Struthio camelus: one gene and its partners. The protein of the gene in region 1 purifies or fractionates together with the protein of each later gene. This does not show direct contact. Links are inferred from orthologs where the notes say so. Each region holds a gene or a part of one and is shown in the gene's direction. Other genes may lie near its edges. The genes, in order: ETAA1, RPA2 and ATR.

What was found.
Region 2: the proteins of ETAA1 (region 1) and RPA2 purify together in Homo sapiens (affinity purification with western blotting; 4 studies listed by BioGRID, with this or other methods). This does not show direct contact. The link is inferred for Struthio camelus from reciprocal best matches to the Homo sapiens genes ETAA1 and RPA2.
Region 3: the proteins of ETAA1 (region 1) and ATR purify together in Homo sapiens (affinity purification with western blotting; 3 studies listed by BioGRID, with this or other methods). This does not show direct contact. The link is inferred for Struthio camelus from reciprocal best matches to the Homo sapiens genes ETAA1 and ATR.

What each region holds. Positions count from the first base shown.
Region 1 is NC_090944.1:142,321,100-142,330,942, forward strand, and holds the start of ETAA1 (ewing's tumor-associated antigen 1), read left to right. Parts: upstream 1-5,325; 5' UTR 5,326-5,406; coding exon 5,407-5,530; intron 5,531-6,362; coding exon 6,363-6,500; intron 6,501-6,807; coding exon 6,808-6,884; intron 6,885-8,499; coding exon 8,500-8,618; intron 8,619-8,965; coding exon 8,966-9,843. UniProt on the Homo sapiens protein: Replication stress response protein that accumulates at DNA damage sites and promotes replication fork progression and integrity.
Region 2 is NC_090964.1:2,834,457-2,845,295, forward strand, and holds the start of RPA2 (replication protein A 32 kDa subunit), read left to right. Parts: upstream 1-6,433; 5' UTR 6,434-6,702; coding exon 6,703-6,718; intron 6,719-6,927; coding exon 6,928-7,040; intron 7,041-7,166; coding exon 7,167-7,268; intron 7,269-7,386; coding exon 7,387-7,500; intron 7,501-8,960; coding exon 8,961-9,035; intron 9,036-9,857; coding exon 9,858-9,971; intron 9,972-10,288; coding exon 10,289-10,399; intron 10,400-10,833; coding exon 10,834-10,839. Other genes in the region: SMPDL3B (acid sphingomyelinase-like phosphodiesterase 3b), read right to left, coding at 1-283, 1,467-1,600, 2,203-2,383, 2,568-2,740, 3,341-3,484, 4,043-4,140, 5,925-6,138, 6,253-6,304. UniProt on the Homo sapiens protein: As part of the heterotrimeric replication protein A complex (RPA/RP-A), binds and stabilizes single-stranded DNA intermediates that form during DNA replication or upon DNA stress.
Region 3 is NC_090950.1:15,507,075-15,517,410, reverse strand, and holds the start of ATR (serine/threonine-protein kinase ATR), read left to right. Parts: upstream 1-5,924; 5' UTR 5,925-6,037; coding exon 6,038-6,096; intron 6,097-7,781; coding exon 7,782-7,873; intron 7,874-8,323; coding exon 8,324-8,467; intron 8,468-9,070; coding exon 9,071-9,960; intron 9,961-10,336. UniProt on the Homo sapiens protein: Serine/threonine protein kinase which activates checkpoint signaling upon genotoxic stresses such as ionizing radiation (IR), ultraviolet light (UV), or DNA replication stalling, thereby acting as a DNA damage sensor.

The sequences.
Region 1 (9,843 bases):
GACGAAACTGCTGCCAGGGGAGAACAACCTCCAGTCGCCCCCACATTAAAACCAGCAGCAGTATGTATAATGGGAGCGTAATGGGAGTCACACACGCATATGGAACAGAGAGACTTCATTGTTATGCATTTCCATGTAAACTGTGGCTTATAGCTAATGGGATGCAGACTCAAGGGATAATGTATAGAATTTAAAAAATGAAAGCCTCCCAAAAAAATCACTCTGGTACAGAAACTGTTTTTTCAACTGCAAGCTATGAACAGTTGACATAAAAACAGTCCATCCAGAAACCGCTGAGTACGTTGGAGAAAAACAGAGAATGACTGCACTTGGAGAATTTCATACTAGTTTGATCACTGATTCTTCAGTAAGCTATTTAGCACCATAGGCTAAACATTCTCCTGGAACATATGTATCAGTCAAAAGCTAAGCCTACTTTAAATAAATAATCAGTGCCTATTTGCCTTCTCCAGAATGCCTGATCAAAAAGCTGTCTTCACTGACCATCGACTGCTTTGTTTTTGGTAGCTGACAAAATGCTTTACTAATTTACACTGTAGCGTGTGAGAGTTTTAGCAAGTCTCGATCTTCAAATGCAGGTCAGTTTTTGTCACTGATGAAAGAAATCATCTACAGGATATATTATATATGATAGGATATATGATTAGTATTTGTCAGACTTTCAAACAAGATGGAAACCTATTCCTTCCTGTTCTTTAAAGAATCTTATAACTTGTTTTCTTACAAGGGATAAAAAAAATTCCAGAAATTAAGAGAGCAGAAAAGAAAACCTATTTCTCACTCCTTGATAGCCCGGAGCTGTAATACAGCAGAATCGACATATTAAAAAAAAAAAAAGAAAAGAAAAGAAAAGAGAACGTGGCTGCCGTAATTTTTAAGAGCTGTTTCTCATCCTATCCTCATTTGTATCTTTTCTCCATGTATAAACAGTGAGGTAGCAGAGGGTGCGTCTGAGCTGGCAGGATCACCCAAGATGCATGTCTCCCTTGGTACAGTGAGCAACGATATCGTGGACATGAGAGAAAAAACAGCGAAAAGCTCCTTGGCAGCAGGGCTGGATGCAGCCGCTGTGCAAAGGGGTATGCAATGAGGAATGGCTGCTTCAAGACTCCTCCTGATCTTAGGGCAAGTCTCCCGAGTGCAAGCCAGCACAGTGCGCAAGCGCCCAGGCCATCGTACCTGTTCCAGACTAAGATGCCAGGGAGCTGCCTCCATGCAGCAGTGCGCTCACGCTAACCAGCCCAGCTAAGATTTAAAGCAGAAATCCTACAAACACTGCAGTCTTACACAACTGGGATTCACCTCTTGAATGCAGTTCACCCTGAGCGCTGGAAAACAAAGACAGCTGTGGAATTAAGCCTACGTTATAATACATACCTAAAAGAAGGCCGGCCCAGGAGCTATCTCCTGCTTTCTGTGAGGGAGTGGAGGTGTAGGGCTCACTACAGACCTCTGCAACTTGTAGCATGTTCATTGCCTGACCTAATTCTTCTAAACAGCTGACCCATTTTGGTTGATAATTTCCCTTAAATGTCCAGACACCAAGCAATGGAAAATTTCCTTTAAATGCCAGTTAACGAGCAATGGAAAATGTCATCATGAGGAAGTTATGCAGGTATTTAAGTGCTCTGCTGGATCAGGCCTTTGTGAGCTAAATTATAGTTTTCCATTTGACTTGATTTTCAGAGTGTGATAAATATAATAAAATGATACTCTATGATTTAAAAAAAGGAAAAAAATGAGATACATGTAAAAATTTTTAAAGCTTCTAAGGTTCTTGGATGGCATGGTGGTGAGAAGACAGAGAGAGAGAATGCAGAAGTATAAACCAGGCTACACTTCTGTAAATTACCGTGACATTTAATAACTCTGTACTAAAAATTCTCAAGCAAGGATACTTTGGATATTTTTAAGGTCATGTATCATTTACTGTCTAGGTCAATTTATGGCTCAGCAGAGAGTGTTGCAAACCCTTCCAGACAGCATTTAAAAAATAAAGGTATACGTAACTGTTTGGGCCGTATTTTCCTCATCAGTTTCTGCACTGTGAACATTTCACCTTGGAAAATTAAAGTAACATTCTGTAATAAGTGAACTCAGTATGATATTTCAAGGCAAGTCAAGGGTAAACTTTATAACTAGACTATCAAAATGCTATTAATAAAAGCAAAAATACATGAACGATGCCTGTGTTTCCCTATGGATGGAAAAATTATTGTCCATTAAGTCAACATTTCAGGTACCCTCACCGTTTTTCCTGCAGTCCCAGTGAAGGCAATACAACACATATATCTCCTGCAGTTAACTTGTATAAACTACCTGTTATCATGTACTGCCATAATTTAGTAAGCACTCCAGGGGTTCTGAAGAGGATATATGGATGAGAAGGATTTCTGCAAAAAAAAAACCCAAAAGGCTAAAAACTGTGGCTACAGTATTCTACTCTCATATTGAGTTTTACACAGGTGTCCTAGTTCATTTTTGTTTTGGTCCACAGGGTTGTATTTATAAATGTGTCTTATGTTAAGCATCTAAATTCACTTCTCTGTTTATACAGCTCCCCTCACATCCGGTGGCGCTGTGGTTATTCCCCAGATAATCTACGCTTCAGAAGAACTATTATCTCCTTTTGAGAGATGTGGAGCCAGACTACCAGGACACATCTACACAGCATGAGGCAGCGTTGCGCAGCAACGTCTGGGCCAGCTCTGATGAGCAAAGCTGGTTAGAAGATTTCAGGTGCATAAGCTACCTCATCCAATGCTCCTGTGCCCATCTGCGAGGATCTCCGAGTCATACCCTGCAGAAGAATAGAACAACTGAGGGCAGTCTCCCCCACGCAATGAAGCATGGCCACAGACTCTTGCTCTCAGGACCACTGAAATCTCTTGAGGGCTCCTACAGAACTACAGGCTGAATGCAGTAGTGCTATAAACATGTATATATGGACTGAATGCAGTAGTGCTATAAACATGTATATATGGACTGAATGCAGTAGTGCTATAAACATGTATATATTTTGCTTTTGTAGACATTTGCCTTTGTAGGCAATCAAAGAAACAAACAGGATTTTACAGATCCCAAAAGCCCATGGCTTTCCTTGATTTCTGCCTTGCCAGAACTCTAGCTTTAGAGGAAGAGAAGGGGAGATGATGAGAAGGTGATCCATTTATCAAATTTCCTTAGGTACACAGTACACATGGCTACTCAACTACATAAACTCTTTATTTAACAGTTCCTTCCGTAGGAAATAACAGTGACATGTTTAAAGAACCCTATAACTGTACTGACTTGCAGAGTTTGTACCCAAACCATTTTTTGAAATAAGCTATCCAAGAAATACTAGACTTGGAGAATTTTTCTTTTCACCTAGTATCAGATGTTCAAAATACATCTGCACATTTTCATTTGAGGCAAGGTATGAGTGGATGTGTGTGAGTTTTTTACTTCTTTTTCAGCATTTAACAAAAAATCACTTTTGAAATGAAACTGTAATTTGGAAACAAAAAATAATAAGATAGTCAACTCTGAAAATATCACAGACATTTAGAAACTTTCTGGAAAAAGATAGTGTTTTTCAAATTAAACTCATTATTTATAACAGTTTCTGTCCCCTCACAAATCTTCACATTTTCAATGAAATCGCTATCATTGATTTTCCTTTCCTTCTAGCCCTAGTAAGTATGAAAGATGAACTATAACATAAAGTCACTTCTCTTTGTTAATTAAATTGATGTAATGTGTTAGATACTTTGAAAAACCCCACTAACGATACACACTCCCTCCAAAATAAAAATGTGCTCTTTCAAGTTCTGTTCTCAAAGGATTTTAGAGAGGAACACTTTTTCATGAATATTTTCTATGTTCTCATTACACTATTGGATATTTGTTAGGAAATTTCTCAGATCTTCCACATTTATTTCGTTTCATTTTAGGTCCTTGTCTCATAAAATGCAGTAAAAAGTTCCCAGGCAGTTTATAGTACTATTAAATCTAAAACTAACTTTATTATTCAGTCACTCTCCTCCATTACTCATCCCTCTTGATTTGAAAGCAGGACTCAGAACCACAGCACGAAGAGTTTGCAACAAGTCCCTGGAACGGAGCCTCACCACAGCTAGCCACTGATCCAGCTGCCAGCGCCATGGCAAGGGAGCACAAACTTCCTCCTCCTTGAGGCTACAGCTCCACAGAGAAACCCTTCAACATCACAGACTTCCACCACTACTTTTCTTAACTTAAGAAACAGCATCAGCTCAAGGCTAAGTTCTTAAGCTGCAATGAGATACACATACTTTTCTTCATTAGGAAATGGGAGTTTTTTCATCGTGGAGCTGTTTGGTTTTTCTGTATGTGCAGATATATTTTTTTTTTGCCTAGTTTTGTTAATACAACTTTGTATATGCTGAAGCTGATGTAACAAGATCTCTCATGCAGAACTAGATACACATTAGAAATATTCTTTTTCAAAATTCTTTTACCGTTAAGAGCTCACTAATGTGTGAAAGACCTGTGGCGAATACTCACATTTTATGAATGAGGTTAGTGAACAATGAGCTGGAAGAAAAGCAGAAATCAAAGAGACAGCTCTGCAAAATTCACAGCACTCATTGAATGTGACAGGTGTCAATTTTAATTATTTATGACAGTATTTTGGAATATACTTGTAAACATACGGGAGTACGAAAGGAGACCGCTTTACAATACCCAGCTGCTAAGTGGCCACTAGGAAATGGCAGGAGACAGCAAGGACTTTAGTAACACTTTCTAGTAAGTCTGTTAAAATTTAGTATGTTTTGTTATCTTGCGAGTTGTATCTACTACTACTGTAAATAGACACAGATTCCTCTCAGTATCCTTGTTATCTGTAAACACAGGGCATGTAATCTACATTCACCTATGGCATAAAGGGTCCGTGCAAGCCACTCCCGCACCTGGGCAACGCAACAGCTTTTAAATGTTGTATTACAAACTAATGACCCCCACCAAACCACTAATGGCACCACCCAGGGCAGGGGGGCAAGCAGGGACCTAGGAGCCGCTGCAGCGCTGCCCTCCACGCTCCGCCTGCCCCTTCCTTTCCAGTCAGGAAGCAGCCTGCGGGGCAGCTCACGCCTCCCCCCGCGGCGGGCAGCCCAGCCCAGCCCAGCCCAGCGCAGCGCAGGCCGCTGCCACACTACTCCGAACAGGAGGCGGGCCCGCCAAACGCGGCCGGCAGTTCCCTACCGCGTCCGCCCGCCCGCCTCCGCCGCTGGGGGCCAATGGCCGCTCGAGGCGGCGCGGCGCCGGCCAATCGGCGGCGGCGTGGCGGGCTCCCGGGCAAGATGGCGGCGCCGCGAGAAAGCTGCGGCAGGGGTGGTATGGGGCGCTGCCGGGGCGCGCGCCATGCCCAGTAGCCGGCGCAAGGTGCCCGCCGCCCTGAGGAGGCGCGGCGGCGGCGAGGAGAAGCTCAGCCGGCGGCGGCCGGAGGACCCCCCCGCGGGGGAGGCGGCGGGCGGCGGCGCGGCAGGTACGGCGGGAGCGGCTGGGCCGGGGGCGGCTGTGGGGCCGGGGGCAGCCCAGCCCAGCCCAGCCCAGCCCGCCTCGCCGGCGCCAGCGCCCGTGACGGCGGCGGGCGCCGCTCTGGCCCCGCGCCGGGAGGGGCCGGCGGGCGCAGACCGCAGCCGCCCCGCTGCCTCCGCCAGCGCCGCTTCCTGAGCGGCGGCTGTGGCGGGCTGAGCGTCACCTAACGTGTGCCGCTCGCTGCCGCTCCGGGACCGCACGGAGCTGTTTGCGACTGCCTCTGTCCCGGTTTTCAACCTTTATGCCTGAAGAGGCCTGGGGCGGCGGCGGCTGGGGGAGGGGGGAGATACATGCTGGTACGAAGGCAGGATGCGACCCAGGACAGTTTGGAGGTGCCATGGAAGTTGTGACCCAAATCTGAGTCTAGGTGACAGACCTATGCAAGGTGGGGCGCAAAGTGTCCTCTTGCACAGCTGTGCTGGGTCTTTCCCTTGAAGTAAGCTGAAGTCGCCATTCCTGGGCCTAAGAGGATAGACGGTTCTCGTCCTGGCCTTTAGAGGCTAAGCGAGCATCTGTCGGCATCCTGTAGCGCTCCGCTACCTCTCTGGTGGAGCGCAGCCGGCAAAGGTAGAGTTGCATTCTGGGTTAATAGTTGTGAAAACCACTGGTGTTTTAATTAAAGGAACCCTCATGAGTGTGAACTCAGACCCTCAGTGTGAACTTTTCATTCTTAAGGCTTACACACCATGTTTTTTGTGTCTTACCCTGTTGTATGTTCTGAGTTATTTCAATCTTTTATGTGTTAATGTTTAATAAGCATCATCTTTCTGTTTGCACAGAGTCATGTTCACATAAGACGCCAAAGAGATCACTGAATAGGAAATCACGGATACCTACTTTCAGCTCTCCTGTTAATGATGCTGATAAAGAGCAAGAAATCTTTTGGGATCCTAATTCACCAATTGCATGCAGACTAGGTAATACCAACAAAATTCATACTTCAGGTTGCCCATTTGACGTATATGTTGCAGTATACTAAAAGTTTTCAAATCTGAATTATCCAAAAAAAGCCCCCTTCCTGTTATCACCATGGCAATGGTGGAGTTGGGGTGTTCAGAGGTGATCAGATTGTTTGATTGTGGTTTTTTTTTATTGTGATCCCATAAATTCTTCAATATAGCGCTCAATCAACTTCTGATTTTACCAGGTGTAACTGAATTATTTGAGACACAGGGAGTTTTGTAGTAATGTTTTGCCATTTTTAAAAAAGGTTTTGTTTTTTAGGCAATGAAAAAAAGAAACAGACTGCCAGTAGATGCGCAGTAGAAATTTCAGAAATTGTTAATCGTATTGCTCCTCAGGTAACTATGACTTTCTAAAACACTGCTCTCTATAGGCAATAATCGAGCAAAATTTTGTTACGCTACTCAGTGTTGGTGAAGATGTAATTTTAGCTACAGTAGTCTAGCATGGAAAGAAGCAAGTGTGCAGAAAAGTAGTAACGTGCTCATAAAAGAGAACTGAATTAAAATCACAGCCATAGTATTTGACTGGCTGTTCTTGAGTCACAGATGCTATTAAAAAAGAGGATGCATTAAGAAAAGCAGACTTGTGGCATCTCCATTTTAGGAAGTTTTACTTTCAGAATGCAAGTTACTGTCCCTGTTCTTAGGAAAACAGTTCTGGTATAGTCACCCTTAATCACTGGTCTGTTAAAAGGTATGGTTTCTTCACGTACTGTATTTACTTGACAGTTATTTTAAGCATTCTGAATGATCTTGAAATACACACTGCAGAACTGCAAGGACAACACTGAGGTGAAAGACTCCACAATGATACAGACGTAATACTGTTGCTGTAATTCCAATCAGTTTGCCTTTTTTACCCTCGTACATGCTCTTGATGTCTTCCCAGCTGGGGAACTGATGTCCACAGCCTGGAAAGTGAAAGATGCCCTTACAGTAGTGGGCTTATTGTTTGCTTTTTATTAAGTGCAAGAAGAGAACTGTCATTTCTACAAAGACAGTTTTGTAGTATCTGGCATGCAAAATATGCCTGCTTGATTGACAGGGCCATTTAAACTGTCTTCACTATTTAGAATATTTGTGAGAAATTATACTTTAGAATTTCAAAATCATTGATAAGGGATGCCAATTCCTCTCTGTTTAATGATTACAATGCTGTCATGATTGTGAGTTATTTAGAAATTGGACTTCGTTTGGGGCAATCTGTTGCTCACATCCTTCTTTTTCTTCCTTAAAAAAAAAAAAATTTGACATCCCCCCTCGCCCCAAGCCACCCTGATAAAGTTCAAATTATTTTTTGCTGACTACTTGGAGTGTTTCTTAATGTTCAATATGTGGCTCTGGCCCACTTCTCATTTTACTACTACAGTACTGTATCTCTTAGATTTGAAAATTCAGATCCAAGCCTGAACTTTGAAGCTCTGAAACGACCTCATTCAGTTTTTTACTTAATTTTTTTTTTTGTTTAGAGGCTCTTTGTATGAAAGAGTTGTAATGGAAGAAATCAAAATTTTTAACAGGAAGCAAACAGAATATGATTTTCTGAAATTCTCTAGTCTGTTAATGCTGCTGTAGGTGGAGAAAGACAATGTATCTCAAGTAGCTACTTACTAAAGTAAACTAAAATATAGCTTGCAAAGTGAAAATTGCAAATGATGTGTTAACCTGATTGGGGAAGTAAATATAGTATTAGATTAGAGTGGCAAAATAGAATTCAATTATTTTAATTGAAGTTGCTGCTTTAAATTGATATAATTAAACTGATAAAACTATCAGTAGACGCTGTTGCAATAATCTTGCTTGGCTTGTATTGGTTTAGCTCCTATCTGTGGCTTTGAGCACACTTGTTCCAGTTTAATTGTTTTAGTGACTTAAACGAATGCAAGGTGTATGTCTAGTTCAATCTTTATCTGCAATCAAATTGCTAAGCATTATAAATCTAATCATTTAGGATGAAAAAGCAGCCTGCAGTGGAGGATCCCTTTTAGAGACATGGATTGGTGAGGATGCCATTCCCTGTACACCTGGGGTAGTAAAACTGCGAGCTAGAACAAAGTTAAGCTGTACAAGGTAAGTTCCAATTTTGTCTTGCCTATCACAGCTAGACTTTCAGGAAAACAGATGTATTATTTCATTATGTTTATGTATAGTGAGTAATTGTACATTAGCATACAGAATGCTTTTAACTTTTGGGTTGTTATCTCTCTTGTTAACAGAGTAGCTATCACTGGGAATTGGCAAAAGGAATGCATGCTGATTGTGCACTGAAAACAGGATTCATTCATACTCTCTGTAGTTGCTAAATTACAGAATAAACAGCTGATAGGATAGTGTAATTGAACTTGACAAATTTTTCTCAATAGATCTGATTTTCTTTTATATATATATATTTTTTTGTTTGTTTGTTTTTAATCTAGAGATCTTAAAATAAAAAATCCTGAAGACGAACTCATGAAATTGGCTAAGGAATTTGATAAAAATCTGGTAGAGTTGGATGCTGTTCAGGAACAAGAGAAGCTTTGTCAGGACTTCGTCCAGACTGCCTCAGAGACTTTAAGTAATTGTAAAGATGAAGTACAGATGAAGAACCAGAAATCGGTCCTTGATGAAGTTTCTGAAACAGATAGTACTCTGTCCCTGAAACCAGTGGGAGAGAGCACTGGGGTTCCTGCTGCAGAGCCCTGTCAACCTAGTAGTCAGAAGTCTGTAGACCTGGAGGCTGAAATAGCCCTTCATGCCCTTTTTGATTGCTCTACCCAGAAATGTAGTGGACAGCTGAGCCAAGGACTGTCAGGTATTTCTTTAAATAACAGTTTCCAGGAAAACAAAAGCACCTTGGAGGAAGAACACCTTCCTGAGCCAATTAAAAACATGCAACATGTTACTTCTGAGACATGTCAACAAGATACTCCGTGTTTACTAGGAAGCACGAACCAGACTTTTCCAAAAACTTGTACCTTCATGTTGACAAAACAAAATTCTTCTTTGAAGACAAAAGTGGTGGTCTCCAGTAAGCTTACTGAAGTAGTTAGTGATGATTTTGATGACTGGGATACAGATTTTCTGGCAGATGACTCTTTTGTCATGCAAATAACCCAAAATCCTGAATTGATAAGTACTGAAGAGGCTTCACCAGTTCCTACAAATCCACCCGCGCGTGGTTTCAGTGATGCTAGTAGAACAAAGGAAAAAAGTAGTTGCAATTCAGTAACGTGTTTGGGGAGCTTACACAAGTCTAACAATTTGCAGTATTCACCTTTGAAACAGTCTAGTAAAAACACACAAAATGTTGCAA
Region 2 (10,839 bases), on another chromosome or scaffold:
CTTTAATACACTCATTGTATCGTACAAAATCAACTTCCCTGATGGCACAAACATGGTCAATGCGGCAGGCCTCCTCACACAGGGCAAGGTCATATTTGACAGAGTTGAACTCATAATACTGCTGCAGATACTGCGTATCCTTTGATATCCTCTCCAGCACTGTGTGCATGGACCGGGCAGAGCCATCAGGGACTTGGAAAGCTTCCGTCAGCCTATACTCTTTCTCCCACATTGGGAACATCGTATTAGCATGAGTTAGATTTAAATAGTAAGTCACCATATCCTGCAGGGAGAAAAAAATATAACAAGGAAAAAAAAAAATGAGGAAAGGATCAGCCCTTGAGTGAAGCAGTTGACTGAGATCTGATCAGCCCATTCTCCTAGATGCTGGTGTGTAGCACAACGAAGAGCTTTCAGCAGCAGGCAGCACACCTGGTGGGAGGTAAGCTGCCTCCCAACAGATGCTTCCTACCAAGATGTGAACCTGAGGAAAGATGCCTCAAGTGAGAGCATTCAGCACTCACTATAAAAGCAATTTTAGCCCATTTTACTATTGTATAAGTGTTGAAAGGTTGACTTTTCTCTGCTTTTCCTCTGCTTGTATTTTGAAACATCAGAAATTTTGAGCCTGATCTGCTCCAAAAAAATTCACTCTGGTATTCATTATCAACATTGTCCTCTGGCAGGAGGAGCAGCTGGAGAAGTGTTACAGGGTTGAGCAGTTATTTACTCAAACGTGAACAAAGTTAAACAAAAAAGTTCTAAAAAACCTTCTGTTTGCAAACCTTTTCTGTTTTTTTTCTGTTTGCTCTTTTTCTCTCTGCCTTGCTTCACTAGCTCTCTAGCTTTGCGCAGTATATTTTAGGACAGACAAGCATGCATTTCTTATGCTGCAAACATGCAAATACAGTATCTGCAGAGGTGCTTTATCCCTTGCAAAGAAAGGTACAAGAACACCATCCTCCACCTTTTTGCAAATGAAAGACAAAGGAAATGGAAGTCTTCGTCTTCCCTACAATTCAACTAACTTCTGATCCTATTACAAAATGAATTAATTCAGAACATAGGTGGGACCCAAATAATTTTCTAGACAGCTAGAGTTTTTGAAGGGTGTTCAGCAAGCCTGTTAGTCCCCAAAGACAGTTCTGGAATCCACGTTACCTGGGCTGTAAAGCAAGCGTAAAAGGAGATTAATTGAAGATATGAAGAACAAACAAGTCTGAACTCTCTTGCATTGCCATGGGACTCATCCCAGCAGGAGGCCTGAGCCAGTCGAATGTAGTGTCATTGCCCTTACTCACTGACACTCTTTAAAACTTTGTGCTAGCCACAAGACTGAAATACCTTGTTTTACATCCTCTGCTACATAGCCTCTTGGCTCCCTGTAGTCCTGCTTGTTAAAAAGAGGTGGGAGAATTAAAGCACCCAACTGAGACTGCAGTACAAAGCATGATGGTGTCCCCTACCTTTACTTGAAGGGTGTCTGGATCGTAATCAATCACCCGGATCCCAGGGTTGTTGGCTCCATTGGCCACTCCAGGTAACGTTGTTTTCCAAGGAGTCACTCCAGGGGCTAAGAACATGACATTGATTGGAGAACCTTAATAGAAAGACAAAAGAAACCATGAGTCAGAGAGGTCTGGCTTGGAGCAGACAACGAGCATCCTGACCACTGAGCACCTTGCACCCATTGCTCACCAGATCCAGTTACAATAATGCACGCAGAAAGATCTGATGCTATTCAACACACTGAGATTGAATACGTGACATTTCCAGCTAAAAGCAGGCCTTCTGCAGCTTGGCATGAGTGGAAGACTCTACAGTGAGGGTGAGCAAGAGAACCACCCTCAGTGAACGAGACCCAAAGAGCCATTGTGAAGACCTACAGTTGCTCCCTTAGGTCTCAGCTAAGGTCCAGAAACCATCAGTATGGAGCAGGACGAGCAGCAAGGCACTGTGAGAGGAAACAACAAATGAGAGGGGAAGCAGGAAGGACAGCTGGAGCTACAGGTCTGGGTGGGGAATCCCATCCACTGTTGTGTCTTGTTGACCAAAGCATTTTACAAGACGTTTTAGAAAGCAAGACGTAAATGAGCCTTTTCTGACTTGTTGGCTGCAGTCACCGAAAACCCTCTTCAACAATGATTTTTTGGGGACTGAACAGAGCTATCATGCAAATACTTGGGTAGCCAGATTTGATACCTGTATCACTGTAAAACATCCGAAAGCTGTCAGTGTGGTGGTGTCCAAAAAACTGGGCAGCAATCACTCTGTGGTGCCTCTGCACTATTTTCAGGTATCGTTCATTAAAGTTACTCCGGAACCAGGGCTTGCTTCTTTTCTTCTCGAAGAAGCCAGGAGGGATGTGCCCAGCAATGTAAACCTACAAGAGCAAAGAGCTGCGCTGAATGTAGATCCCATGCTTCCCAAAGAGAGCACTGGCTTGCTGGTCCTTGGCACACAAGAGAGATCAGGAGTGAAAGGACCTTCCAGGCTGGGAGAAGCCCTCTACAAAGGCATGGGGGCTTTTGTTGTTGTGTGGGCTTTTTTTTTTTTTTTTTAAATACCATTTCTTCTGCTTTTGAGGCGTTGGTCAATGTTTCTTCCAACCACCGGAACTGCCCTCCAGGATCTTCCTCACCAGCCGTCTGGTTATTCTGGTCATAGTACAGATTGGTATTGAGGACAATCATTCGCCCACTTGTATTTGGGCTGGGCAGCTTCTCACTGTAGAAAGCAGCTGTAAAATGCAACCAGCAGGAGAAAGAGCTGGAATTCTGGCCACACAGCCAATTGTGTCCCCAAATCCCCGGGCTTTTACCTCTCTCAGCTCTCCTTGGCAATAGTCACAGCAGAGTCACTATCTAGACAAGGTGCCAGCAGCTCTGACTGGTTCCAGAGTAACCAGCAGCTCTGACCAATCCAGGATATGGATTTGGTGTGACTCTTCCCTGTGTCTTCTTGTCCCGCATATGCCACTCAAGGTGAAGAGAGACCCTGGGTTTTAAGAGTATGTGCAGGACAGTCCAGGAGCTGGGAAGCTATAGATAGCTACTGTTGTGGCTTTCTTGAAAGATCTTTTTTATTTTCACTGAAGCTCACCATCCTCTGCAGGGACACTTTCCTAAAACTCTAGGAAAGCACGGAGAGACTAAAGCATAAAGAAAGTCCTTTTCCCACATGCAGGAAAACTCAGTGCTAGGAATCAATCTTAAATTGGACCCTTCCTCTACAAGCACTGCGGCTTGGGGAATAAAAGCAGAGACAGCACGTTCATGGTGACTTTCCCAACCACCCTATCTTCCCAGGACACTGCTGACACGGGCTAGTGGTGCCACACCTGCTCTGAACAGAGGAATGGAAGTATCGTTCAGCCAGGAGCGCCACAGTTCAGCTGTTTGGTTGTAGATCCTGTGCTCCTCCCCTGGAAACTGATTCTTGGGGTGGAAGTCATGATTGCCCATCACAGCGTAGACTTTAGTTTCTAGAGAAAGAGAAAAGGAAGCACAGAGGAATCCAAGCTTGCTCCAGAGTTCTTCAGCACCAAAGCTCTCTAGAGAGCTTACAGACTCAAAAAGAATAGCATGGCTGGAGAGCTTCATAAAAGGTTATCATCCACACTAAACTCCTGTGGTTGCACGGACTGGGGATACAATACTGCAAGACCATGTGTCCTCAGGGAAGCCACCCCAGAGCAAGACTGCTATGTTTTTACAGATGGAGTCAGTGAGATTTCCTTGTCAGTAATACTTCTTCTCCCACTAAGCGAGAATAAATTTTGTAGCTTCGTTTTTCTTAATGAGTAGTTATAGAAATGTTTCTTTTCCACTCTTCTGAGTGAATTAATCTGAAATAGCAAGGGTGTGTTAGACATGCCTCAATCAAACAGCCTGTACAGCAACTAGGAAGAAGACAAAGTAGTCCTAATGCCCACAGCATTTCAGTGCCTTTCCCCTTCTTAATTATATCATTTCTCCAGAATGGTAAGTTCTTCCCATGAGACTTTGTACTCCTCTCCCCTATTCATTCTCTCAGATCCTACCTGGAAATATCTGTTTTATCAGAGAAGTCAGATTTTCAATTATGTGCAGAACCTGTTTTTCTCCAAGCTGCTCATTGGGGACATGAGGAGTATCATCTCTGGAGAAAACAAATGAACAAACAAAAAAATAACAAACAAAAAAACATTATGGGGCACGAATCAGCACTACGTTGACTGGCAAGGGCACTAAGAGAGTTTCAAGGAACTGCTCACAGTAAAAACCTGCTCTGCTTTAGTCTACCTTGAAAAACCTATACACAAGCATAAGAAATTGAGCCTTATTCTACCTCAGTGTATTTAACAGATGCTACAGATGACTGGCGATCTTGTGAGGAACAGCGTTTCACAGTCTGGTAGTAAATTTGGTCAGCAGTGGTAAAACAAAACTCTTTGTTTTATTTTCAATGGAAGAGTTGTTATCCTGCTGCTCTCTTGAGTACAAACGGATGCCTCCAGTAAGCCAATGACCATTGAGATCTACCTCTAAAAACCTAGCAGATACACATTTCAATGTTTTCACTAATATGCTTTTAGCATATGTAGACAATATCAGCTGGTAAGGATTATAAGCCCATTGAAAGATAAGACTAAAATACAGGAAGATTTTGAAGAACGAGGATAAATAGTTTGAGAAAATGTAAAACAAGACAGAAGTTTTAAAGACCAACAACTATTTCTAAGTAGGAATGATCATCTGCACAAATATATAAAGTGGAAACAGTGGGTTAGTCAACAGCGCTGCAGATCAGGATTGGGAGTTACAAAAGCTCATAGCGAACACTGTGCTGTTAGAAGAAGCAGGAAACATTACAGAGGGATGTATGAACTTACAGAAATCATGCCAAACAAGTCTTTCACTGTTTGCAAGTGCTATTAGGGCCTCCTGTAAGGTGGCCACTTCTGGACACCATACTACAAAAAAAGCTCCATTTGGGGAGGCTCTTCATAGTTGTAAAGAAAATTAGCTCCTTTTTGAGGTAAGTCTTCCAGGTTCCTCTGTGTAGTTTGAAGAAATGCTGCAAGCCCTTCTCGTGGTGCCTCTAACAAGGCAGGACTTTGTACACCAACAAAATGAATACGTTCCATTCCCCCAAGCATTTTCAGGTATTCAAAATTTGTGTGAAGTGAGACTAGGCTGGCAACAATTGGAGAAGAAGAAAGGATGGTGAATTCTAACACCTTCCCTCATCTTACCTGGAGTTTTTCAGAGAATCCCTCATTGCTGGGGCTCGTTCAAAGCATGGCCTCCCACTCCTAACAGCCTCGCTGTGCCCTCAGCTCCGTACAGCTCCACTAGCAGACTCCATTTTGTACTTTAAGGCGTATCCAAATCTCACCTCTCCAAAATGGTTACCTTAAGAACCCTGAATCTACCGTGAACTCTTCACCTCCAAGTCCTCTGGCTCCCCATTCTCTAATAACAGCTCTCAGCCAAACACTGGCAATGCCCAAAGCACGCAGGATCATGTCATAAACTGAAAGCGTGAGTAAACACAGAACCAGTACTACCAATTTTTGGATTATTTGGGCTTCCCCCCCCCCTTGTCACAAGAAGATTCCTAAAAATGCAAACATGGGTATTCACCTCCTAGAGCTTCAGCAAAATGATGGAAAACACGAGCCTAGAAGAGCTGGGATTTCCTCATTTTTACACGTAAAGCTGAAGTACAGCTTCAAAGCCTATCCTATACCCGCTTTTTTCTGAGGGACGGGCCGGTGAAGCGGCCCGACCCTTGAGGGGGCGGCAGAGGACACGCTCCGCCGAGCCCCGCGCAGCCTCCTCCGCCGGGCGGGGCGGCCGCTGCCTGCCCGGGGCCAAGTTCCGAGCTCAGCCGGTGGCGGGGCCGCGGCCGCCCCCTCCGCGCCCGGCCTGGCTCCTCACCCGGTCCAAAGGATGAAGTCGGGCTGGCGCAGGATGCCCCTCATGGCGAAGATGGAGGAGTTGAGCAGGCGCCAAGGGGAGTCGCAGAGGTAGCTGCCCCAGGGCCCGGCGGCCGGCACGGCCCGGGAGCCGCCCGAGGGGCACACCTGCGAGGGCTCCGCCGCCGCGTCGTAGCCGGGGTCCCAGTGCAGGTCTGTGATGTGCCAGAAGCGCCCTGCCGCCGCCGGGAGAGACGCCGCGACTTAGCGGGGCGGGCGGGCGAGCGAGCGAGCGAGCGAGCGAGCGAGCGCCCGACAGCCGCCAGCCGCCCGCCACCGCCCCCTGTTACCTGCGAGGGCCGCGCAGAGCGGGCAGAGCAGCAGGAGCGCGAAACGCTTCATGTTGGCCAGGTTCGCTCCTACCCCTGCTCCGGCCGCGGCCGCGGCCCCGCCCCGCCCCGCCCCGCCGCGCGGCCCCGCCCCTCCCCTTCCCTCCCCGCCCCGCTGCGCCGCGCGGCCCCGCCCCTCCCTGCCCCTCCCCTTTCCTCCCCGCCGGGCCGCTCGGCCCCGCCCCGCCCCGGGCCCTGCTCACCTCGGCGGCGGTCGGGCTGCGCCAGCACTCAAAATGGCGCTGTCAGCCTCCCCGCCGCTTCCCCCCACTGGAAGGAGCCAGAAGAAAGGCGATTGCGATTGGCTGACCGGCCGGATTATCGGGCCCGCGGATTGGGCAGCTGCCGGCGGCGCGCGGGGGGACTACGCGGGTCCGTCTCGCGCCTGCCGTTAGGCCTGGCGCCGCCGCAATGTGGAGCGGACAGGGTGCGGGCCCGGGGCGGTGGGGGCGGCCCGGGGCTGCCGGGGAGCTGCCGCGCAGCCGCCGCGCAGGAGCCGGTGCCCAGGGCCAGCGCGCGGCGGGCTGTGCTGCCGGCGAGGGAGGAGCCGGGGCTGCTGCGCCCGGTGGCGGCGGCGGCGGCGGCGGGTAGCGCGTCTCTGCCGCCGCCTCAGGGTCTCTCCCTCCCTCTCCTCAGGTACCTTCGACACCGGCTACAGCAACGTGGGAGGCCCGGGGCCCGCAGGCGGCTACATGCAGTCCCCGGGAGGCTTTGGCTCCCCCGCAGGCACCCAGGCTGAGAAGAAGCAGGTAGGCCTGGAGCGGGGCCTCGCCGGGCCCCGGGGCGCTGGGCCGCGGCGCTCCGCCCGCCCCCTGCGGGGCGAGGGCCAGGCGCTCGGCCCGCGGAGCTGACGGCCCCTCGGCATCCCCTTGCAGAGAGCCCGCTCCCAGAACATCGTGCCCTGTACTGTGTCACAACTGCTGGCTGCTGAGCAGGTCGATGAAACCTTCAGGATCCGCGACGTGGAGATATCTCAAGTAAGCGCCCAGGGTGGCCACTGGGCAGAGCTGCCAAACCCCGAGTGGGAGCGTTGCGAGTGGCAACAGCTTTCCCGTGCCAGTCCCCCACTGTAACGTTTTCCTTCTTCCAATGCAGGTCACTATCATGGGGATAATCCGGCATGCGGAGAAAGCACCGACAAACATTCTCTACAAAGTAGACGATATGACAGCGGCCCCGATGGATGTCAGACAGTGGGTTGATACTGACGTAAGCACCAGTGGGGAGTACAGCGGAGAGAATGAGCTTTTGGATGATTCTTGTAACACCAGTTGGGTAGGAAAGATGGAAAAGATGGAAAAGATTTAAGTTGTAAGCAAAGAATGGAAGAACAAGAATCTAACTTTAGCTTGGTCCTTGTTGCGTGGAAGAAAAACTCAAAATTTAGGTTTTCTTAGTCATTTTCAGTAATTCTTTGTGATAAACACCCCATCAAATTCTCTGTGTGTGTTATGTTTGTGTTTATTACCCCTCTCTTTGTTATGAACTTAACGTTTTCTTGAAAAAATAACGTGACTGGTTTGGAAAATGTTTTGGGAATAATGTAACTCGAAAAGCTGAGGAAAATGTTGCAGTAGCAGAGGTCACCAGTGTTGTATATGAGTCTCCTCCTGCTTTATAATTCTACGCTTCTACATTGAAGCATGCTGAACAATTTTTGAGGTATTTAAAGGCTGAAGCTTGAACGTTGCTTCATAAATGAATTGAGAGGCATTTACAAGAGGCAATGGGCAGAAACTGAACCACAGGAAGTTCCATCTGAACCTGAGGAAAAACTTCTTCACTGTGAGGGTGACAGAGCATTGGAACAGGTTGCCCAGAGAGGTAGTGGAGTCTCCTTCGCTGGAGCTATTCAAAACCCGTCTGGATGTGATCCTGGGCAATATGCTCTAGGTGACCCTGCTGGGGCAGGGAGGTTGGACTAGATGATCTCCAGAGGTCCCTTCCAACCAATTTCCCTTCCAACCTAAACAATTCTGTGATTCTGTGAGAGATGAGTCCTCAATACCTTTGTGTAGAAACACAAGGACAGAAAGTATCTGAACAGAGATTTTTGTATATGGCTCAGTGACTGATAATACCGGTGAGTATCATCATTGCTGATGCATGACTCCTGAAGTGATGGTAGTTTTCCACTGGATTCTCATGCTGATATAACAAGCTTTTAAAGCTGGACCCTGTTATTAAAACATATTTGAAGGCAAACAGCTGAGTTCAGACGAACAACTTTGAAAGAGTAATTAAGCAAATGTTCAGTCGGCTTAACGACAAGTTTATCATAAATTAGAAGAGGATTCTGTGACTGTTTCCATAACCGTAACCCAAGTTTTATAGCTGAACACTTCCTTTTTACTACTTCAGGGCTTTTTCCCTCTTGTTGCTTTTTGAAGATCCCCCAGAAGCGGACAAAGACATCGGAGCGCTGTAATACAAGTGGCTTCAGCTGCTCTCAGATATGCAGTGTATTCAAACAAGAAGAATTTTTTTTCCCCTTTCACTTAGTTTTTCCATTTTTCACTTACACTAACTGTTCGTATTGGATGTAGGAATGTATGGCTTTTGTGTTTGCTTGAGATAAGCCTCTTTTCTCAAATCACTTATTGTGATAGTGGATAAATGGAAATGTGAATCAGGAAAACCTTGTTTTTTCCCCTTTTCCTTTCTGTTAGGAGGCAGGTGGTGAGAATGTTGTAGTACCTCCAGGAACTTACGTAAAAGTAGCTGGTCATCTTCGGTCTTTCCAGGTAAAATCATGTTATTTATGTATGACTCCTCAAGTAATGAGGTTGGAGCAGTGGCTTGAAGGATTACTGATCTTGTAAAGTGTTAGGGTCTTTGTAGAATATGCAGTTAATCATGATCTTTAGTCAGCCTTTCCTTGAATGTTTTTGGCAATGCTGTTCCTAAGTGCAAAGGACAGAAGATCCATTTAAAATTTCATTGTTCATCCGTACATTGTTTTCTGCTGAACAGTACTGGCCACCACATTCTTGAATGTTTGTACTGTAGAGCTTAGATTTTATTCTGGTCACTAGGGGACACTTTATAAAGGGTAATAATGTCATACAGTTACATCATAATAGTCACTGTTTAAATAGTGATGTGTGCATTAAAGCAAAGTGCAGTTAGTTACTAGCCAGTTAGAAAATCACACATATATATATATATATATATATATATATATATATATATATAAATATATATATTTTTGTTTTAAGGGTTGTCCCTTTGTCTTTGTGAATTAATCTCCTTCAAATTCATTACTTCATTATTGAGAAAGGTAGTTTTTTAGCACAACTCTTAAAAGCATCAGAACATGGCTTTTCATAGGGTCAAAAGCCAGGAGCCATCATTCTAAATTCTTATCCCATCTTGTGAGAAGTTACTTATCTATACTGTATTTCAGAGCTGCATATGAAAAGTAGTCCAAAGACCTGGGCACTAGTTACAGTGACAGCAGACAACCCCCCTACCCACTACTATCCTTGTTCCTAGAAATAATGATTGGATTGGGCGTGTGGCTGTTGGCTGTGATTTAATTTTTTTTCTTTTTGCTTCTTTGAAAGAATAAGAAGAGCTTGGTGGCTTTTAAGATCATGCCTCTGGAAAATATGAATGAATTCACCACACACATACTAGAAATTGTCAATGCACATATGATCCTCAGAAAAAATCTTATGGTATGTACGTGGAGATCTTAACCCTTACACACTGAATGGGGGGGGCTGTTGGTTATTTTCCAAAGAGATGGACCTCTTCTTTCACTGGGGAAAGTGTATTTAAGTTGTGACGCTGAAGAGCTTTAAATTGCTGGAGGGCTACAGTGAAGGTATGACAGGAATCTCGGCTTCCTTGGAGGGAAATTGTGCTACAGTCAATTTCCAATTGTTTCTTTGGGAATCTATTTTTAATTACTGCATATCTGAAATAACATTCAGTCTTTCATCCCTCAGGCTTGAGGGCAGTCCATGTAACCGTAGCCCTTTTACTCTTTTAGTCAGCATCAAGAATGCCTCAGTCCCTTTCCTCTGCTGGGATAGGTGATGTGGGGAGCTACAGAGGAGGTGGCAGCCTGCCAGTGAACGGACTTACAGCGCATCAGAGTCAGGTAGGTGCAAACAACAAGCTACTTCTGGAACACAGCAGTCACAGTGGTCACCGCTAGGATGCGATATAGGACAAAGAAATGAAAGTTCAGGCATTCTCTGAAGACCGATAGCTCTTCCTGGAGCTTTCTGTAGCTGTCCATTGACGATAGAGAAGTTTAGTTGTCTACTAATGGTGGTTGTGTGGTGCTAGACCTACTGAAGACCAGAAAGTCGTAACTGGGATTTTGCTGTCCCTGTAAAAGGAGTTTAAGTCTTCGCAGTAACTGCAGCTAACATTTTGCAAACTAATGGAATGAAGATGTAGAGGTACTCATGGTACTGTGAACATAGGGGAGAGAAGGAGAGGAGGAGAAGTAACATTGGAAAATAGAGCATAGTCTGCTGTACTCATGAATAAACTGCGAATGCTATCCCTAGATTCTTGTTCTTCCAGGTGCTG
Region 3 (10,336 bases), on another chromosome or scaffold:
ATGAAAAGGTTACTACACTAAGTGAATTAAACAGGGTGATACCGGATCCAGCATTATTATTTTCTTTTTCGCTAGTGCCTATTACATCTGCAAGAAAACCCTGAATGTGGGTTGATAATCCCTTCTGCACAAGTACACAATCTACTTTATACATAATTTATTCCTGAGGCTCAGCAATACCAGTTTCACTGATGAGCTATTGTGACATACCACCTTTACTCTCTTCAGAAATGCGTACGTAACAGCAGCAACCGACCCCCCCCCCCCCAGAAATTCATCAAGTAATTTACATGTAGAAGTACCAAAACAAATAAGACAAATAATAACGTCATGACTGGCATCTAGTATTTACTGAATGGGACCAGTTCAGTCAAAGCTGGAATCATGTAATTCTACCACAAACATAATATACTGGAGAACAGAGAAGCCACCCTTCTTACTTCATTTTGCAGTCCTCGTTTAAACATGTGTAGCAACAGTGATGCTTAAAAATCCCTTAATAAAGTGGCGTGGCATGACATGACTGTATGGCAGAGCTGTTTATATCAGTAACTTAAGAACTCCTGATTCATACTTAACTTGATCTGGCTAATGCTAGCTGTTGTTTTTATTGTTAATATCCCTTTGCATACCATAACATGACCATTGGTCAACTGTTTGCTCAGTGAATGTCTAGGTTGAAACGAAATAGCGATACAGAGATATGACATCCTACAGGAAAAAAATCTTCAAAACTGATTTTTAGATTCGAAAGTCATGGCACTTGCTTAGCTAGGTATCTTCCCAGCACTAATTTGCAATTTATTGCTTCCTTATCATCAGGCACAGTACACAGCCTGCTACAGTAATAATCCTGTTTGCTTGGATCAGATTCCTTTTACTCGTTGGTATTCCTGGTCTACATTTATTTAATCCACTTATTTAGACGTAGTTACTTTTGGATTTTTAATTATTATCAACAATTATCGAGGGTGTGAAGCTTTTCACATGTCCCGGTGAACTCTACGAAAATATTTTCTTTAATTAGCTAGCGCTAGGGAGGCCACTAACGTCACAGACTTAGACTTTATATGAGCATTAAAGGATAAGGATATGGGTACAACCTTTTTAGTTTAGACATTTTCCTATCATGTGCTGCAAAGGTGATATCCATCCCATTGATACAAATCCCTTGGAGTAGTAGAAGTCTTAAATACTGGGAAAACACACACAAAAAAAACCATACCCTACTGGGAAAATAATGCTACAACATGCATACATTGGCTTAATTTATTTGGCTTCTAACAAAGGCAATAGAAGGACAAAAACCTGTGACTACCCTTTCTCCTTCCATTTCATCGGTTTCTACAGTGAGCCACGGAAAGAAAATTAGAGAACTCTCGCATTTAGCAATAGCCTGGACATCTTTTATCAATATTACCAAGCCTAAACTCTATTCTAGTCTTGAGCAGTGTGAAACATAGAATCAGATAGAAAATTATTTCTCCTCTCATGAAAGCTTTATAGGAAAACAACAAATTTTTACTATGAAAATAGCTAGCACAGTTATTCGGATTTTAAGAATTTGTTCTTAATAAAAAGAAGAACCTTTGTAATTAAAACAGCTAGAACTTTCAAACAAATTTAGTTTAAATGACATTTTAAATTAAAACACTGCACAGTTTTCTCCTGCCATGACTAGCACAGAGTTTTGCGTGAGCCTATGAAACCACGCAAACATTTTTCCCAAGGAGTCATTATTGTCAATCACATTCCCTAGTTATGGAATACTTTTTTTAATCAGCATTTAAAATTTTGAAAGTTTTGCCTTAAGGAAGTAGATTCCAAGCATCTTAGTTTTATTCCAGAATTATCAACTCAGGAAAGTCTTGACTTTGTAACACTAGTCCCGGTAATAAATAAATTCCTATGAGTTTACTCCAAAGCTGCTAACCTGAAGAGTAATATTCTTCTACTAGAAAGCAAAAACCATAAATAACAGAGATATATATACAGGCAACTACTTTTTATCAGTAGCGTCTGTGCATAAGCAAAAAACAGTGGCTGCTACTATACAAATAATAATGCCAGGTTCCCAAAGAACATATAATCTAACACACTATCTCTCTGAATTACTCAAATGTTTAATTTTACTTCATGAATAGTCTTAAGTACGTAAGCAGGATTATTCATATTAAAAATATGTGGATAAGTGTTTGCAAGACTAGGACCTATGTGGATAACATAGAGTGAAAGGGGGTGTTAAAAAACAGTTTTATATATTTTCTTTCTTTCCTCACTTTTGTCCCCTCTTTCACCTGTCAGTTTTTGCCTAGTGGTTGAATTTATATATTCCTGCTTTCAGGATGCCAGCTGGTGAATGGCCCTTACTGACATTTACTATTTCAACTTTTCACTATTCTTTTTTTTTTTTTTTTTTTTTTTTTAAAATCATCAAACCAATATTCCGGACTGAATATTATTTTGACTTGTGCCTCTTCCCTCTAGCCAAGTTGACTAGGCGACACAGGCATAGACAAAAACATAGCCTTCCGGAATATACGTTTTTATGGTGTACAGGAACAATTCAACACGTTCAAAGGTCAGTCAACTACTCTGACAAGCACTTTCATGACTATATATGGAAATAAGTTTTCAAGTAATCATACAGACCATTGGGTATTATTACAGCAACCATGCAAGTGAAAAACCATAAGCACACCTTGATATTACATAAAACCACTTAGTACAGTTCAGAGGAGCTCACTGCACCATCTTGGCTGAACTTCCTCTGACCACCGTATCAGCCTGTACAATGTTTGTATTTCACGGTTCATGAAGACATCAAGAAATACACAGGTGCCTTTAGGTCATCGTAAATCACTTGTGTCTACTGACAAGGGACAGCTGAGATTTAACTGCAGTCTTATTAACAGGCACCATCTCTCACACATCCACGCAGTGGATGAGCCCCAAGAAGAACAGTACGTTCACCTCTATCTTTGAATTAAATTGCAACAGAATGAATAAAAGCAGAATCAACATGCCTTTGTGTGTAGGACCTGCTGGCCCAAAGCAAAGTCACTCTGTGTTACTCAGTGTGAGTATGAAACTTAAGTGAGTGCCCTGGGAAGGTACGTGGAAAAAAAAAAAAACAACCAATGCCAAAGAAGATGCAGGCCTAGGTGTGGGAGAATCATGCAAGAAGTGAGAGGACTGTTCAAGTTGGCGGGGGGGGGGGAGGGAGGGGAAGAAATTTTTAGCAGATATCTTGACACTACTGTACACACTGCATTTGATACCTAGCTCTAACTCCCTGCATGAATTTTCCTGAGTTTTGTAAGCTGGGAGTTCTGCACACCTATTTCACCAATATGGATCTGCACTGGAAAAGAAGATACAAAACAGTCTCAAGGCACACTAATTTCTTTAGTCATGAGGCACGCTCTCCAGATGGATGATAATACATCTCCCCCTCCTACTGAGGACACAGAGACATATAAAGTATAAAATAATGAGATGAGGGAGAAACAAGACGGAGGTGAATTGAAATTTTACTGAGCTTCTTATTGTGTGTTCAAGAAAAGCAAGGGGCAAAGCTAGGTGTTTTTGGTTTTGTGAGTGCCCATAAAAATATTTTAAGGTGAGCATCGAGAAGACATCGTTTATCTTCACAGCACAAACACTGTGAACCTGGGACAATGCAGTTGTCATTAGGGGCACTAGAGAGTCCTGTTAAGACCAAGGTAACAGGAAGAACATGATGATATGGTCAGAAGGCAGCACATGAGGCTTTGTCACTGGGAGAGAACAGAGGCTCCTGGCCTCACTACCACTGAGGGGTAGGGAGCAGGAGACACCTCTTTAGTGAATTGCTGGGAGTATTTACTACAAAAAAGCCTGAATTACACGTTTGAAGTAACTGCAACATAAATTTCTATAGAATTCTACCTATGCCAAATGAAAGTGTTTCTGCAATAGCTATATTAGCATGAGCTCACTGTTGAATTGGGAGACTTCCAGGCAAAAGTACTTATTTGTTGTTGTCAAGCACTTTGTCTGCCCCATTTATTCTTTATAAACAAAAAAACATCTCTCTATGCTTCAATAAATTTATTGTATTTCTTAGGATTAAAAGCTGAAGAATATGTATGTATTCTACTCCAAATCTTCTTAGGAAAGATAGCTAAATATCTGTTGGGATCCCAAGTTTATCAGGGATGACACCGAGACTTCCATTCTACTTCAAATTAGCAAGTAGTGCAATTTACACTTTCTATGCAGTGATTGCTGTCTCAGAATTGGCAGTTTACACTCAGATTGTTGTTCTAACAAGAAGTATATATTTTTATTTAAATTGTGTAGAAACTTCTCTGTTCAAAATAAAATTGACAACAAAACCCAGACGTACCTTGTCTTCCTGTATCATTGAAATTCTACTTAAGAAAACGTGTAAACCGTTTTCGCTCCTGGGAATGAATCTCAAAAGGCCAATATTTTACAGTCAGCTGGTAGAGAAAATTGCAAGAAGCGTTGAAAAATTTAAGATGAAACTCAATTATTTTTTGCAACGTTTCTTGAAACATTCTCATTCCTTCCTATGTTAGCAACCAGGGTACTCTTTGATCTTTGAAAGATCAGCAAAACTTTGTATGAAACCGTATACAGGTATTTTGTAGGATGAAAATAACCAGGTGTAGCTGAAAAAGTTAATTAGCAATAGGTTCCCTAAAAGCATGCACCTGCAATGAATCAGTAACAGCAACACACAGATGCATCCACTTCATTTCCTGGGCTGTTTTACATGCAAAAGATATAGGCACAGTGCAGTGGAAACAGGCAACAGAATTACAAGCCTCTGAGAGGATTTTATTTCAGCCCAGAAACAATGCTAAGCAGTTCAGAAACAAATGCAGAAAGTATTATGCTTCTGAATCAGAAAAGCAAAGCTCAGACTTCAATTTGCCCTTAAGTACTCTTCCTGCTACTAGTATCTACACACAAGAACGCTTTTTGTATCCTCTCACGTTCCGAGGTCTCACAGACTTGCTGCGTGGGCAGGGCTCCCACGTATGGGCCATACAGTGACAATCACCATTACATCCCAGGACTGCTACTAAAGCACGCATTTAATTTTTCCTGTAGCGTAAGAAAGCAGGCTACTTTAAGTACATTGCACAACGCTTTTAGGGTTTTTCTTTAAAGCATTTATGCGTTCAAATACCTTTGTCCCCTCAAAAGAACACGAACGGAAAGTAACGCACACTGACAAATAAAAAATAACCACTATATTTTAAATATCCTTCCTGCTGCTAGCTACGCGGAGCGGCACAGAGCCGGCGGGCGCCAAGACCCCGCACGGCCAGGCTGCGCCCTCCCTCCCGCCTCGTCCCGTCCCGTCCCACCCCCCAGGCCCGGCGCCGGGCCCCAAACCCCGGGCCAGGCACCGGTACCGGCACCGGCAGCCGCTCCCTACCTGCTGCTCCTGCTGCCGCGTCCCCGCCGCCACCTGCCGCCGCCGGGGCGGGGCGGGGCGGCAGCGCCCAGGGCCAACGCCGGGGCGGGCTGCGGCGGCGCCGTTTCCCGTGACCCGATAAAACAGTCTCGCCGTTGGCGGAATTAGCAGCCGCGGGTGCGGGCGGGCGGGGCAGGCGGCCGTTGGCGGCGGGGCCTCCGCCCGAGGGGCACCGAGGTTCCCTCCTCAGCGCCCCTGTGACAGGCTCCACTCATGGCTGGCGGTATTCCTCCCCCCCCCCCCCCCGCTGTACGCTTGCCCCCTTTCTGTTTTTACCACTTTGAGCGCTGCGACGGCGAGGAGCGCCCTGCTGCCCTCCCCTGAGAGGCCGCTAAAAACCTGACCTGACCCCCTTCCCCCCCCCACCCCCCCCCGCGGGGCTTTCTGCTGGTGACGAAGCGGTTAAAATTTCAGCCGCGCGAGGGAGGAGGGGCAGCGGGCAGAGAACCGGCCCGCACGAGAACGGCGGTGTTCTGAGCCCTACCGGCCGCCGTCCGCCGGGTGCCGCCGCCGCGCCGCGCCGCGCGTTTCAAAGCGGGAGCCATGGCCGAGCAGGGCCTGGAGATGGCCTCCATGATCCCGGCCCTGCGGGAGCTGGCCAGGTAGGGCGCGCCCGGCCCCGCAGCCGCGTCCGCCGGCCCCTCCTAGGCGGGAGGGCTTGGGGGGAGCGGGTGGCTGTGGGGAAGTGGAGAAAGTAGGTTCTTTCCCCACCGCCGAGGGAGGCCTCGCGGGGCCGGGCCTGCCCCGACCCGACCCCTCAGCCCGGGGTGCAGCCGGGCGGGTGGGCCCCGTTGGGCTGCCCGGGCGTAGCGCCCGGCCTCCTGGGGAGGGCTGTTCTGTTGTGCTTCCAGCGGGGTTTCGCTGAGAATTGAAAGACCTTAAAGCATCTGTTAGTCCTCTCTAGCGTGCTTTGCGCTACTCGATTAGACGCCTTACTAGTTTAAAGCTCCTCTAGTCAGAACTGCATCTGGAAGTTGTAAATTGTAATCGTCATTCGCTGCTGCTCAGTTAGAAGAGTTGAAAGTGAGATGTTAAACGTCCGTGTTTGAGGCATGCACTCCAGAAGGTCCCTCGGGATGATGGCATGACTGGAACAGCCTTCTTTGTTCCATTTGTTCCTTCATTTTTTTTTAAGCTATGGAAAACTCCTTTCTGCAGTACCTGAATGTCTTACATTCCCTTTAGTGCAGTAGTTGAGTGCTTTATAACAACCACATAAAGCAAAAGAGTAGCATGAGCACCGGTTGTGCAGATGCCAAAACGGACTCCATCTTTATGTCAGGGAGGGGGGAGATTGTGGCAGAGTTGGAACTTGGATCCCTTGCTTCTTGAGGTAATGCCCTGATCAAAGGTGTTCTTGACCTTTTGTGGCTGGTTGGTTAAACATGTGTACAGAGAACATCTTGGTTTGTTGTCGTTCAGGTTACAGGAAAGATAGCCTACTTAAATAGGTGGATGTCTGAGTTTTCTGTAAGCCTGCTGCAATCCAGTCTGCAGCCTTCACTGAAGCAATCCAAACTGTGCTTTGCAAGTGTCCCTATCCTAGCTGCGATCTTCATTGCATCAGGGGAAGTGAACCTACTTAACCCTGAGACTACAGTTATTTGCTACACATGCCCTCACACATCAAAAATTGCTCTTGTCCAGCTCAGTTCATTAAAGCTGCAAACACTAAACTGGCATACAAGCTTTTCACAATTGGGGCCTGTATCAGGGCCATCTATACAGAGATCAATGTTTGGCTCTAAAGTGGTAATGGCAGCAATCTGCAAAGCTAAAAAACTGTAGCTGTGATTGTGGTAGGCAACTAATGGCTGTGGAGATACAAGTGTATGCTGAAGATTTGACCTGGCAGCGTCAGCTGGTATCTTAGTTGTCAGAGCTGCTGCAGTCGATACCTCTTACCTTGCGTACTGACAGCTAGTCAGCTGAATAATTTTGGCAACTCTAAAATTAAAATAGGTTCCTAATTTTATTTTTCTGTACCAAAACTGTTCTGTTGCTTTGGAGTAGTGTGTATAAATCCCTTAATGAGTCGGAGATAGATTTAATATATATCAAGCATAACTGCATAGCCAAAAATTTAATGATCTTCAGCACATCATAAAACTTCATTCTTTTGAAAAATGAGGAAAAAGAGAAGCAGACAATATATTGGTCACTGAAAAGGGGAATCAATTTGTATTTCTCTTTGAAGTCTTCTAGAAGTAAAAAGTACCACTTTCAGTGTTTAACACTGTGTTGCTGAGATACACTTTAAATAGTTATTTTGTATTTTTAATTTTAGTGCTAATCCAGAAGAATACAATTCCGTTGTGCAGAAACCGAGGCAAATACTCTGCCAGTTCATTGACAGAATTCTTACAGATGTAGATGTTGGTAAGCATTGCACCTCTTGCTTTTAAAATGATCATCTGTTTTGGGTTGTTGTTGTTTTTTCCTTTATGTAATTCCTGCTAAAAATAAGTTATATATGAGTTACAATTTCAACAAAAATTTAATAGCTGAATGACTATTATGACTTACTTAAAATAATCTATACGATAAAGTCTTTGCTGATGTGATATGAAGTAATGTGAGTCAAATGTATAACTGTTAGAAGAAGTAACTATGTGAAGTGCAGAGGCGTATGAGTATATATGCTCACAACATTAAAAATCTTGTGCTTTGCAAATTTATAAAGCACTCCTAACTGATAACTCTACAGATTTAATACCACATAATAATATTTTATGTAATAATTTTCTTCTTTCCCTGTTAAGTATGAACAAAATCTGTGAAGTTGCTGTGTCATGGTACTAATTCAGAAATCTGCCTTTCTTTTTTCAGTTGCTTTGGAGCTTATTAAGAAATCTGATTCACAGCCAAGTTCTGTAATGCTGCTTGATTTTATTCAACATATCATGAAATCTTCCCCTCTTATGTTTGTAAACATGGATGGAAATCAGGAGGAAACTGAATGCAGTTGCATTGGTGAGTTGGTTGAAAAATTTTATGTTGAAATTTGGTATTTACGTGATTTAAATTTTCTGCCCGTGGATCATGCAAATCTCCCTTTTCCCCGTTTTTGTTCTCTTGCAAGTTCAGCACTTCATGTTTATAAGTTAATCTTACGATATCCTTTTATAACTGTAAATTGATTTGCACTTGTGATAATGGAAACTTGTCGAGATATATACCAGGACAGAGTCTGACCTTATTCATTACTGTTGTGTAGTCATTAAGATACTGTCCAGTTCCTGTTGGAAAGGAACCCATAGTCATCCTGAACCCATAGTCATTTCCTAAGTCTTTTTTAAATATGCGGAAAATGTAGATGAAATGATACTTAGCCTGAAATCTTTTTGTTGTTGTTGTTGTGCCCTTTTTTTCCCCCACTTTCCCTCTTCTTCAAAGAGGTTTCCTGTCTCTGTGAAGGCATTCTGTTTATCAAGCCTAGATGCCTTTATCGCAAGGAGATTTATGGTTTTAGTGATGAGCAGCTTGTTTTTTTCCCAAGAAGGTGGCCTTAATATGAGCTTTTGTTTTTATCTTAAAAATTCTTTTACGTGTGCTCTTTCTTTTTTATTTTCCTAGAATTTAGTAATTGGATCATAACAAGGCTTCTCCGAATTGCTGCAACTCCAAATTGCTGTACGTTGCACAAGAACATCTGTGATGTCATCTGCTCTTTACTGCTACTATTTAAAATGAAGAGTTGTTCCATTTTTGAAGTACTAACAAAAGACTTGCTACAGCTTTTCCAAGATTTAATTTTCCTGCATGAAAGAGACACACAGAAGCATCTCTGGGGAGATATGCTGGTCTGGCCAGTGGCTGTAAAGAGATTTTTAAGCAATTCAAGTGACAATGTTGGATACTTAAGATTGGCACCGTTGCAGCTGATGGGCATGCCCAATGTAGAAAGTTTGGAAGTTATATTAATGTCTGTTCTGACAGACATTGCTGCAGATGTGTTTTTTGTAAGACAAGATATTATTCTGTGGGGGATAGGTTGCTCCTTGTTGGAGTATGGTAGTCCAAAAGTTAAAGCTTTGGCAATGAAATTTTTAATAAAATTAATTCATTTGGGAGGACCTCCAGAACAGCTGGCCAGTGTTTTCTTCAGAGTCTTTTTTGGAATTCTGCAGTCAATACTTGAAATGGATGCTGAAGAAACAGGACTCTTTGAAGAACCGCTCTTACTCTTGGTGAGGACGTTGTTGCCATTTGAAGCAGATTCTTACAGAAATATCGAACCTGTCTACTTGAATATGCTACTCGAGAAGCTCTGTGCGTTGTTTGAAGGTGATGTGTTCAGGTGTCTTCAGTCTGAAAAGCTAAAAGCTGCTTTTTGCCATATATTGCAATATTTTCTGGAGTTTGTTCCAGTTGGCTATGAATCTGCCTTGCAAGTAAGAAACGTCCATATCGGTACCATATGCAAAATTTTCGTGAATGCACTTGGTACTCAGGAAGAACAAGAGGTAGGTTAATTTTAAAAACTCTTTTTATCATGAGAACGGGTAATGCACAAAAACCTACATCTGTGGAAAGAAGAAATTCTAGGAATTATTGTTTTTGTTAGACAACTGGATTGATACTCTCAGCTGTTTCACGTGATTTTACAGGTTATAGCTCTTTGATAAGCTGGGTGTGTCTGGACCCTATTTTTCAGATGCGCTAAAGTAGCGAGAGGCTATGCGGGCACTATCGCGCTGTCTGTAATCATAGTATAGAATAAGGATGTCGCAGTAAAACTGGCTCAAACAAGGGGAGCTTAAATAATTTCACTTCATCTGAGTTGCTCTTTCTAACCATGTGCTTTTGGTCATATTTGTTGGGGGCAGGGAGACATAAAGG